3 linked regions of the Macaca fascicularis genome follow. The main gene of each other region encodes a partner of the protein of the gene in region 2 in a complex. Links are inferred from orthologs where the notes say so. Each region holds a gene or a part of one and is shown on either strand. Other genes may lie near its edges. The genes, in order: MBIP, DR1 and YEATS2.

The links.
Region 1: DR1 (region 2) and MBIP share a complex: the UniProt entries of both Homo sapiens proteins name them as parts of the ADA2A-containing complex. The link is inferred for Macaca fascicularis from reciprocal best matches to the Homo sapiens genes DR1 and MBIP.
Region 3: DR1 (region 2) and YEATS2 share a complex: the UniProt entries of both Homo sapiens proteins name them as parts of the ADA2A-containing complex. The link is inferred for Macaca fascicularis from reciprocal best matches to the Homo sapiens genes DR1 and YEATS2.

Annotation. Positions count from the first base shown.
Region 1 is NC_088381.1:104,153,899-104,158,285, reverse strand, and holds the start of MBIP (MAP3K12-binding inhibitory protein 1), read left to right. Parts: upstream 1-1,500; 5' UTR 1,501-1,619; coding exon 1,620-1,748; exon of another isoform or gene 1,749-1,980; intron 1,981-4,387. UniProt on the Homo sapiens protein: Inhibits the MAP3K12 activity to induce the activation of the JNK/SAPK pathway. Component of the ATAC complex, a complex with histone acetyltransferase activity on histones H3 and H4.
Region 2 is NC_088375.1:141,054,444-141,058,665, forward strand, and holds the start of DR1 (protein Dr1), read right to left. Parts: upstream 2,892-4,222; 5' UTR 2,168-2,891; coding exon 1,948-2,167; intron 1-1,947. UniProt on the Homo sapiens protein: The association of the DR1/DRAP1 heterodimer with TBP results in a functional repression of both activated and basal transcription of class II genes.
Region 3 is NC_088376.1:95,715,973-95,719,619, forward strand, and holds part of YEATS2 (YEATS domain-containing protein 2), read left to right. Parts: intron 1-668; coding exon 669-767; intron 768-1,924; coding exon 1,925-2,027; intron 2,028-2,904; coding exon 2,905-2,978; intron 2,979-3,647. UniProt on the Homo sapiens protein: Chromatin reader component of the ATAC complex, a complex with histone acetyltransferase activity on histones H3 and H4. YEATS2 specifically recognizes and binds histone H3 crotonylated at 'Lys-27' (H3K27cr).

The sequences.
Region 1 (4,387 bases), on a different chromosome or scaffold from region 2:
CCCAAATGTGCTGCATATCAGTGTTCTCCATATTTGAAAAAATATGAAACACCTCAATGCAAACAAGTGATCTGAAACTGATTGCTAATTTGGTACAGAACAAAAACCTACAGTTACCCCATTACAATTATTCTCTATTAACAAGAGAACCAGAAGCAAACAAAACATGCTAACATGGCAAAGAATCATGAATTTAGGCTAGATATGGGGATGAGTGGCTTGAATAAGAAGGTTGCTCAATTTGAGATTGGACATTGCGAAGTATCTTTCTGGCTGTAGACATAGGCTGGAATATCAGTTGTATATCTTGCTGCCAACAAGGGAACAGAAAAGATTTTCCAAGATTCTGTCAAGCCTGGTGATCCCATTTGTCTTTGGAAATGAAAGCCTAATTAAGAGACTCCCTAGGGACAGGTCAAAGGAGTTCTTTTATCTCCATCGTCCTTATCCTAGTTCCTCGATGCGTTAGTCCTTCCCTTTAATGTAGTCTACCCTAAAACTAAAGAATACACATTGTGCAAGTTTCCACCTTTGCTTTCTCTACTGTAAATGCATTAGACTATTAACAGAATGAAGAGTTTTAAATCCCACCTTCCTTATCTCTAAGCTGATGTTTATTTCTTAAAGTGTTTTTGAATAAAATTTGACACTAAAAATTCTTGTAATACTTTTTAAAATTGGATAACACTTTTTAAAAATATTGGAGTCTGACTAAAAGATTACAAAACCCCACGAACATCTTTATAATAAAGCTATTATGATAAATAATACTTTGTAAAATTTCAATTCGGTTTTATGTCCTAATTTCAAAGATTGTGGTTGCATATTATTTATCCAGGTTAAATTCCTGTTGGATTATATTGACAGTGTTTCATTTCTTTGAAACAATTTTAGGGTTAAGAGTCTCTACAGTTATAATGGAGAATATCAACTGTAGTTTCAGTTACTCAGGAGGTTGAGGCAGGTTGAAACTGGGAGGCGGAGGTTGCAGTGAGCTGAGATGGCGCAACTGCACTCCAGTCTGGGCGACAGAGTGAGACTCTGCCTCCAAAACAACAACTTAAAACTTGAAGAGATGAAAATGTTCTATCCAACCATGACAATTCCGTGTGAGTTTTCCAGTGTTTAGAAACACTTGCGGGCACCACTCCATCCCTGACCAGCAAGCTTCCTCCAGAACCACTCCACACCGCCATGTTAAAATGTCAACTTTTAATTTGGGGACTCAAACTACAAAATTTAACTATGTCTCCTCTTACCAAGATTCACAGTGAACATCTGGGAGTCAAGGTAGGCTTCATAACGCTAAACAGACCACAACGCTAATAACCACCTCAAATATAGCCTTCCAGCCTAGCTTTGGTCTGCAATTTCCCACTTCAGAGCCTCGGCGTAATGTCGCAGTTGCAACTGATTGGTGTAACGTGCTTGTCAGTCACATAGAGAGGGTGGGGCCTCAAAGCCTGATCTAAACGAGACGCCGTGTCGTACGTCATCGCCAAGCGACTAAAGCTGGAAGGGAGGGAGCGGGGTTGTGAGCAAACGTTGGTGGTGGTGTTGGTGGTGGTGTTGGTGGTGGTGTTGGTGGTGGTGGTGGTGGGGCGGCCTGAAAAGGCATCATGGCTGCTGCCACGGAGCTTAGTCGCCCGAACAGCGGTGACAGGAGCCTGGAGCGAAGATGCAGCCCTAGCCTCTCCCGAGAGGTGCTCTACGAAATCTTTCGCTCCCTACAAACCCTGGTTGGACAGGTGAGAGGTGGCCGGAGGGACTGGGAATATGGAAGCCATCCGGCCCATCCCTCCATTCTTTTCTTCTAGCAGGGGCCGGGGGCAGCTAGGCCTGCTGAAGTGTGGGATGCCGTCCCTGAAGCCGAGGTCGGGGAGGAGCGCGGGCCCAGCCGCCTCGCTCGGAGTGAGGAGGACGGCGGTACCCGTAGCCGAGTAGTTTACCTTGCAGCTGTCCTCTCCAAGAGTGGGTGAGGTTGGTCTAAGTGAAAACCCGGCTCCGAAAGAGGCAGGCTTGGGGAGAATGAATGTGGAAAAGCTTCACTGCGAATTTAGGAGGCGCCTAGCGCTCAGGGTCCTTTTTCCTCCAACTTACTCTTTATGGGAATTGGTTGGTCAGTAGGCCTGAGATTTATAGAAAAGCGCGCGCTTATTAGCTTTTTCTTGGCCGGGGGGAAGGAGTAATTTGTTCTTATGAGTTACTTGGTTTTGTTTATTTCTTTTTTCCTTGGGGCTGTTTTGGGCATCTATAACCCTTTCAAATGGGGAGGAAAGTAAAAGGAATTCGTTTAAAATACTTCTAGCGTAAAGTTGGATGAGTTATCCATCGTTGATGCTGTTTGCGTTTAGAACTGTCGTTATTTAACTATTAACTAGTTTAACTGACTGATAAATCGCTTTTGCAGAAATGCCATAGTAAAATTGGTTTTGAATTTAGTGGGCTTCTTCGATCAAGTCACTGTTTCGTTTCACGGTGTAAAATTAAAAGCAAGTTTTAAATGAGAAACAATTTAAAAGTACGCTTGTTTACCTGCCTTTTAAAAGGAAATGTTTTCTATCTTACATAGACCATTTTCTAGCCGTAAAAGTTTGTTTTGAGGCTGGCACTAGCGCATGTGGACACGGCAGGCATTTGTGTCAAAGATAATGGTAAATTCTTATGAAAATAGAACATTTGTCTGATTTGTGAAAATTATTTTTAAAGCCTTGAGTAGATGGAGAATCAGCTTTTTAAAAAGTTACTATTTTAAAAAATCATAGTGTGTTGTGTCTTACAAAGAACATTACTGTAAGTTAAACGGTTTTATGTAATGACGCAATTATTAATGGAGTCTGCTTAAAGATACAACTTTTAAATTCAGTTGTTTGCCAAGTGCTTACCGAAATCGTTTTTTAAAGGCTTGGGGTGTTTTGTTATATATTCCAGTCTTAAGACCCAAGACCTTTTAAATGGTTTAAAAGTTAGAGAACTTTTTATGGCGACGTTGGAACTTAAGTTTGTTTATTTTCTAATGTCAAGATGAAAAAAGTTTATGCTCACCTATTAACAGAAGATGGAATATTTTTAAAAAATACTGAGCAATGATTTAAACGTTTCTTTTGAAACATTTAGCATACTGAATTTTTCAAACTCATTAGAAAATTTTAAACATTCAAGTACTCTACAAGTAAAGAAGCGATTACAATTTATTTGTGTCACCTGTCAAAAATGTTGACAGTAAATATTTGGTTACTTTACCATGACACAGTGAAGGGACCTCCTATACAGGTGTCAAAAATATGATTGTTTCATCAGTTAAATGCAAACTGTTTTCATAATACTCTATATTTTGAGAAGTATTAAGAGTGAAAGCCAGAGTTCCACACTTGCAAAATTGCCCCCAGAGAAATCAGTATTTTCTTTTGCAACCACTTTAAAAGATTTCTAGAAGGTATGTTGTAACATGCCTAACTTCATCCTGTGTCATCCCTAAGTATCATTGTATTATTAGATCTCAGTAGGAAACATAAAACTGAATGTTAAAAAGAATTTTTTACTTAAGATCACAAAATTTACTAATTTTAACCTTTTTGCTTGCCTCTGGATGGTCCATCTTACCAAGCTAAACACTTACTTATTTTTAGCTTGGATTTTTGTATTAATTTAGTAAAGTGTTTACTGAAAATATTTATTTAAATAGTCTATATTAATAGCAGACTAATAGAGATTTTCGAGTGAATGGTTTACTCTTCCAAGTTCTGTAGGGCAAAATGCATAGAATTCATATTACTAATAATGAATTTGTTGAATGAATAGTTAGGTGTATTAGAATAGTTTTAAATTAATTTGTGACATTATTATGTGAGTTTCTTAAAAGACCAGTTATTCTTAATTGCACTTGAAGCTTATGTAATTCTGCTGAATTGAAATGACACTATGAACGAAACATTAAGACTTATTTTTCTATAAGTTATTTTCTCTAGAAAATGTGATACTTTGCTTTGGTTGAGGATTTGCCTGCTTTATCCCCAAGCTGTATTCTTAAGTTTTCTGTGATCAACTGTAGATCTCTTTGAAGACTATGAAAGTACAATAATAGGTTACTTCCATACATAATACAGGTTGTTGTCTAACAAAATCTTTATAGGAATTAAAATAATGTAAATGAATGCATTCACTTTAACGTAAAATCTTAACATATTATAATCTTTGCCAGTGCAGCCTACATGAAATTTCATGTATCTTTACGCTTGTCTAATATGGACTTCTAAATGCTTCTGTTCTCATCTTCATTTCTGTCACAAAGTATTCAATATATTATCTTTTTATTGGTAACCTTACATCTTTTTGATCTTTGTACAGTGATTCATCTTTTTTATTATAATTATGACTAATAAAATCT
Region 2 (4,222 bases):
TGGGCGAAAATGTAGATTCTTATCCACCTAACAATAGCATAATACAAAAAAAAGAGGTAAAATTTTAAGACTATAACACGTCAATACATGATTTTCAAAAACAAATCATCTTCATTACACAATGGAAATGCTTTTTCACTATAGCTTTCTGACTCACACATTAAACTGAATTTAGCATATTCCAAAGTTGAATTATTTAGCATACTGCTTGCTACAGCTGCACTTCTATTCCATCATGTCAATCAGAAATCTAAATATATCCTAGAAAAGAATTAACTCTCCCCAAGAAGACAGACTGTAATGTGTTATTAGGTTTTTGGAACGATCCCCACTTCTGTAGTGTAAACAAATATTTAGGCAGACCCTGTTGAAATCTTTTGCAATTTTCATTAGAAAGGCAATGTTGATAAAAAGTTCTTTTTCCTTTTTATGAGTTGTAAAAAGAAATTACAGCTATCTGTGCTGGATAATCTTGTGAAAGACTTATGACAGCAATCACACATACAATGTAAAAATAAATACACAAGAGAAAAAACAGACAACTTGGCTTTCATTTTACTTGCTAGAGTATTCAGCACATCAAGTAGAAAAAAAAAAAAAAACAACTAGTACTAGTTTTAAGAATCAAATATGCTTTTTCCTAGGGATTTTTCTCCTTATGTACTGAAATGGCAGGATATATTTTAAAACTACTTTCAAGACGTCATAAAGGATTAAAAATCAATCATTTAATCCTTTTGTCAATACTGACAGTAAAATATTGGATATGGTCAACAGAAGCAGATGTGTTCTCTACTTCAGTACAACAGGCAAGTCACATTTTAAAAAGTTAAAGTATAAAAATTAAGTGACAGACAACCACCTGCCTACCAAAATGATTAAAATTAACCATTTTTTCCCTGGTTTCACAAGCAATCAATACTTTTAATTAGATTATTACGAAAGGCAAGTTCTCACTTCAAATTGAGAACAACTCTTTCACAAGAGTACATGTAAAAATATCGCAAAAGGTACATTCCCGAAACATTATGACTAGTAAATATGTTTCTCCTCTCTGAAACCATTAGAATACAGTCCCCCAAATCCCTATTACGGGACCACAACCTTTTCAGGATAAAAGAAACTGTTGAAGCTTTCAGAAGTGCTGTTCAATAAAAGCCTAAGTGTATGCATCCAAATAAGAATGACAGCAGGAAAGGACGGGGAAATTTTCCGTTAAAAAAAAAAAACTTGCATAAACTTTCAATCAAAGATTTTAAAACTTATCTCCACAGAATAGAACAAAGCAAACGACATAAAGGCAAACAAAAAGAAAAAAACAAAAATTTAAAGTTCACCCTTTTCTTACAGAATGGACCAGGAGTGCTTTCGTAACTCATTCATGAACGTACCATCAAACCATTTTTAGAGCAGAAAACATACCTCCTTTTATTCAACAACGATAAACTTGACAACGTTGAACACATTGTATATTAAGAATTTTTTAACTCATGTGTTCAGAAAATAAATCTTTTCCTCTACATTGGTGAAAGGTCAGGTGGGGAAGGGGCGCTCTGTCTCCATCCATGCTTGAAGTTCCTCTGTCTGAATTTTTAATTTTCCAAGGGAGAACTTCTGCGTTCCTTAATTATTATCTAAGTTCAACTTCAGGCAAGCAATTCCTGTTGCTTCGGCTTACCTGGCTGTAAAGTGAGATCACTCTTTATGTTTTGGGGACGTTGACCTAAATGTTTGCACTCCTTAACGTGTATTCGCTAGATGAAAAGTACTGCAAGAATGCTACAAAGGGATTGTTTTTAAAGCACGGGCTACCTACATGCCAGTCTGGCTTTTTCATTAAGTTACTTACCAGTGAAGAGGAATGAAGGCTTTGACATGAAAGCGTCACGCGATTAGCAGACTGCTCCCCTAGACCCTCATTCAAACCAATTTCCACACATGACTTACCTTGTATGACATGTTCTGGTGAGATGGTCTTCTTTTCCGATTTGTTACAAATCTCATTGGCTTCAGAAGATATAAGGTGAATGAATTCAGTGCAGCAGTTCACCACCAGCTCTCGAGCATCGTTGGCCACCCGGACATTAGGAAGAGTCTCTTTGATCATTTTATTGATAGCAGCTCTGGGGATAGTGAGATCATCATCGTTGCCAGACGAGGAAGCCATAGTACCTTCCTGTTTCTCGCGCCCCGGCTTTTAAAAACTCCCCGGCTCTGGTCCACTACTCCACGGAGATCTCTCAAAAAGCCGCCCTCGGAGAGTGATCCCGGGGGGTGCTTCGCGAAGAGGGTGCAGAAAATGAACGGAGGAGGAGCTGGCTTGAGGGCTGGGAACGCTCGCGTGTGTGAGAGATTTAGGATGAGTTTGGGAAGAAAGTGGGGGCCTGAGGATTCTAGAGAGAGCACAGCCCAGGCTGAGGGGAAAGCGCGGTGGTCCGGAAATTTGAGCGGCTGGGGAACCACCTTCGGGTCTCCTCAGAGGGGCGGGCACTGTCGCCTAACTGGTCCCCAACGGCGTCGAAGCAGAGGCAAGATCCAGGGGCACTGGCCTCGCCGCGGTACCGGGCGGGTACCCAGCGGGCTCGGCTCTATAGAGCCCGAGGCCCCGCTGCCGCTGCCGCCGCCGCCAGCAGCCGTTGCCGCCGCCTCGGCCAAACCATCCTTCAGACACCCGCGCCGCCGCCTCACAACATGTCCGCCGCTGCCGCTGCTGGAACGGCGACGGCCGCCTGGGAACTAATATGGACAGAGCCAGGCACAGTGGGAGTCGCAGTGGCTGCCACCGTGGCCGCGTAACCCGAACGCAGATCCTGGAAGCCGAAGCGGCGGCAACGGTGGTCCCTCCAGAGGCCAGGGAAGATTTGCAGGAAGCCGCTCCCGACACCCTTTGCGCCGCCGGAAGCTTCGTTCCTCAGATTTCCCCCTCCCTCCCGGACCGACTTCCGGATGTGGCTGCCGCCCTTCCCCCACCCACGCCGACGGGAGCCGCCCGTTCCCGCTGCCAGCAGCTTCCGCCTGCTGCGGTCCTGGCAAGCACCTCGGGATCCCATTCCTTCACAGGGGCCCTAGCCGGGCAAGCGCGCGCGTCACTGTACCGGAGAGCTCCAAGCACGCGCTTGGTCAGGGGCCCGGACGCTAGATCTGGGAAGGGGTGGTGGCTGGCTAGATGGGCGAGGAAGGATCGTCTCTACCCTCTCTCCAGCAGCTGAGGCCTCCGAACCCATCCCTAGCCGGATTTGGGGACAGAGGAGCGCTGGTATTGATAAAAGAACTCTCTTTGCTATTCTTTTAGGAGCCCAAATGAGGATTGAAAGTGAGAAGAATGGGGCCTGGGCTTGGGAGTGGGAGGTGGGGAAAGCACAGAATCCCGTGTGCCTGTTTCTGCGTCGTCTGGAGAGAAAGCTTTTGAAGATGTCTAATAGACCTTATTCGGGTAAAAGCTCTCTAAAGTCCTCCACCTTTTTTTTTTTTTTTTACTGCGTGGAAAATGAAACAGAGAAGTTACTTGCCTAGAGGCGACTAGGCGACTAAGTCGCCTAATAGATAAGTAGGAGAGTAGAAGTCAGTTCCAACGTAGTGGAAATGCATGGCGTACAATGAGCCGTATTAGAAGGTTCCCATTTAGACAGTTTTCATGGTGTATTCCATGTTGGCTTCTACAGGGGAAAAAAAAATGTTAGAGCATCTTAACTGTTTTTGCTTCTTTCCATAGTGACTAGTAATATCAACAGGTGTCAAGATCTAAACAGAAATTGCATTTTAAAAAGTGTGTCAGCCGGGCGCTGTGGTTCATCATACCTGTAAACCCAACACTTTGGGAGGCTGAGGCAGGGAGATCACATGAGCCCAGGAGTTCAGGACCCCCCTGGGCAACATGTGAGACCCGTCCCTACAAATATCTGTGTGTGTGTGTGTGTGTGTGTGTATTCATTCCAATATCCCACTGTTTATAGTATAGCCTCTTCTCCCATATGACAGTATGACACTCTTACGGGTTTTTTTTTTTCCACCGGGCTTGGTGGCAGGCACAGTAGTTCTGGCTACTCTGGAGGGTAAGGTGGGAGGATTGATTGAGCCCAGGGGGTCAAGGCTGCAGTGAGCTGCGATTGTGCCATTGCATTTCCAGCCTGGGTGACAGAGAAAGAGTCTTTGTCTCAAAAAACGTTAAAAAAAAAAAAAAAAGACAAACTAGGTTTGTCATACTGTCGTGTGGAATAAGAGG
Region 3 (3,647 bases), on a different chromosome or scaffold from region 2:
CGGTACTCCCTGCACCTTGAATGCTAGGGCTCCAACGCCAGGACTCAAAACCCAAATGTTCGTTGGCTTCTAAATAGCTGCCCTTATCTAAAGTTGAGTTGAAGGGGGAATATTTTAAGTGTTTATAAGAATTTACATTAATTGGATTGTTGTTTTCCTTTCCTTTTTTTTTTTGAAACAGAGTTTTGCTCTGTCGCCAAGGGTGGAGTGCAGTGGCAAGATCTCGGCTCACTGCAACCTCCGCCTCCTGGGTTCAAGCAGTTCTCATGCCTCAGTCTCCTGAGTAGCTGGCTAATTTTTGTATTTTTTTAGTAAAGACGGGGTTTCACCATGTTGCCCAGTCTGGTCTTGAACTCCTGACCTCAGAAGATCCACCTGCCTTGGCCCCCCAAAGTACTGGGATTACAGGCGTGAGCCACTGTGCCTGGCCTGGCTTGTTACTTTCTTAGTTTAGTGACAGGCTCCTGTTTCTACAGTTGAAGATATACCTCAGTTACCCTCATACCTAATAATCACCCACTAGTAAAAAGGGACTTTGCAATTCCTGTTGTCCTCAAGTTGTCTGTGTGCTGTTCGTCTCATGTGGGGTTATCACCTGGGAGTTAGATCACCTTCATTAAAAATAATCTCTGTATTTGTTATATCCCTCCCTCCTTTTCTCCCTTTAGTGGTTCAGTCATTTTCTACCAGCAAGCCACCTGCCATTCTGCCTGTAGCTGCCCCAACTCCACTTGTCCCCAGCTCTGCTCCAGCAGCTGTTGCAAAAGGTACATAGGATCTCACAGAGTTCTTGTCCAGAAGTTTTGTTGTTTATCTTTTTTGTTGTCGTTCACGTTCTCTTCTGATGTCCAGAAGTTTTATGCAGGACATTACCATAATCTGAATCTTTTGAATTTTCAGCATTTGCAAATCAACCACTTGGCAAATGTGTCCTAAATACTCATATGGTAGACTTAACATTGAGGGAAACACAGAGATGTATAAAGGATCATTTCTACCCTTTAATAAATTTATAATAAGGTTGAAAAGAATTGCTGTAGACAGCAAGCAATCATTGATAAACACAAGACATGTGGCCAGGGAAATGATTGCTGAAATATTGCAGTTTGGGATGTCTGATCAGGGTTGGCAGGGGGTGTGGAGAAGGGCAAGACTTTGTATTGACCATGGATTATAACCTGGACTTTAAAAGAGTAGAGGTTTTTTAGCTGTGGGGAGTCAAGGGGTATGCCAGATTAAGGGCACAAGAGAGACAAAGACTCAGCTTCCCCTTTGGAGAAGTGGCAAGTTAGAGGGACTCATTTGGGGAGTATAGTTGTGGTAAAGGAGGTTTAGGTAGGGGCCAGACTTTGGCGAGCTGGCAGTGGGAGACATTTCCGCCCACAAGAGTAGATCAGGATAGCACGGTGGATTAGAGCAACACGCTGACATTGATAACATCAGTGTCCAAGCACAGGCGATCTGATTTTTGCTTTCTGCCTTGTGTCTCAGAACGCTAAGATAATGCTGCAAGTTGATAAACTAGCTGGAGAGATGATATTGGAAAGGTCACAATATTAGAACTTAGAACAAACCAGCATTGTACTTCAATGTAGCATTGTTAAATCACATGTGTGGGGAGGGGGTGAGGGATCTTACACAGCAGTATGGGTGGCCCTTTAAGAAATATCTGAGGAGCCATTTTATTGCCCCCGCCCTGTCATGAGGCTGGAGTTGTCCCCCCTGAGACCCAGGCTAACAGTTCTTCCCTTGTCTGATGACCCTGGGATGATAGGAGCCATCTCAGTCCCCTGGCTGTGTCCCCGCAACAGCTGGAGTGGCAGTTTCCTTGCTGAGCTTCACTGCAGGAGCTTTGTTTGTGCCTGCACATGTCCTTCCACTGCTAACCCCTAACAGCTGCCTCTTTGTTGCTCTTGCCTTGTAGTGAAGACTGAACCAGAAACACCTGGGCCGAGCTGCCTCTCTCAGGAGGGTCAGACAGCAGTGAAAACAGAAGAAAGTTCTGAGCTGGGAAACTATGTCATTAAGTAATTCTTCCAGTCTTTCCTAAAGGAATTCCGCTTTGGGTGTTTGTCACACCTGTGACAGCTGAGTATGTGCAGAGTTGTGTGTGTAGCTCTAAGCCCTTGATGGGAGGAACTGTCTGTGCCTGTGTAGTGGACAAGTGATGCACAGCTGAGGGTCATCATTTTATACAGTGGTGTGACTGGAGGTGGCACTTGATTTGTAGCCTTAGAAGCCTCAGATGGGATTAGACCTCCCTTCAGTTGAGGTTGCCAGCGTGGGCTTTCTCTGCTGAGCCCCTGGGCGCAAAATTTCTCCTGTAGCCATCACTCAGGTGTATACGTGCTTTGTGACTGGGTGTCCACACGCCTGCCTAATCTTAGCTGCCTCTTCATGGGCTATACACACTCTTTGCTTCTTCTAAAATGCTTTCTGAGGTTTCGTAATTTCTAAATCAGGAAGCCACTTCTGACCAGCTACTTTTAAGTATCTCAAACCGCTGGGGACAATAGAAACTTAGCCCTTTAATATGGTAGATGGAGGCGTGAACTGTAATAACCCTAAGATGGGCATACAGAATTTTTCTCCCCTAGTAGCAGTCACATTGCAAAAAGATTATATTGCTATTTAATTTTAAGGTGTAGATTAACTGTCTGTAATACGCGCATAATCTTCCATTCCTGGGATCTTATTTAGTCTTGACATTTTCTTTTTAAGCATAGAACACCTTTCCTTTACAAAGAAGGTAATCTATGGAAGGAAAGACATGTTAATATGATGTTTTTACATTATAATTCCCTCAGAATGGAATATATCCATTAAGTATATGGCATACATATGGCTATAGAAACTGCTACATGTATTTAATTTATTGCCTTATTTTTTTTTTATCCTTCTCAGGATAGACCATTTAGAGACTATCCAGCAACTCTTAACAGCAGTAGTAAAGAAGATTCCATTAATCACTGCAAAAAGTAAGACAATTACACTGAATATAGGGGTGCATTTTTTAAAGCCGTGAATTTAAGGTATTGAGTCAACTGAAATCACTTGGGTTTGTAAATTAATATTGATAATGGCAGTTACCTTATAAGGTTTCAGCTAGAGATACAGCTCATTTGCAAGGGTTTTAGAATTCATATGCAGTTAGTTTTTTATTCTTTTTACTGTGTTGTTCTTTAGAAGGAATGTTTTACATTTTTCATATGTAAATCATAAATTGTTTTGTATGCAGTTAAAACTCTGTATTAGCATTTGGCGTTTATGAGTGAGGAAAGCATTTAGTGTTTGCCTGCAGTGTACCAGGTCCTGTGCAGGCTGGGTACGTTCACTGTCTCATATAATCCCAGCCTCCTGTGTGGTAGCTGGTGTCATCTGCATTTACAGATGAGGAAACTGAGGATAAACAGGGTTGAATAACTTGCTTGAGATCACAGAGCCATGGGTGGTGAAACAGGATACAAACCTGGTTCTGTTTGACTCTAAGACCGTTCATCTTTCCTCTGAAACTCAGTATTGCACACTGTAGAAATGCACAGTTTTTAAGACCTCCCAAAGTGGTGTGCTGTGTCACTCCCATCGTTAGCTAGATTGAGTAAATTGCTGCTTAGCCCCAGTTGTTTTGATAGAATCAATAACCCTTG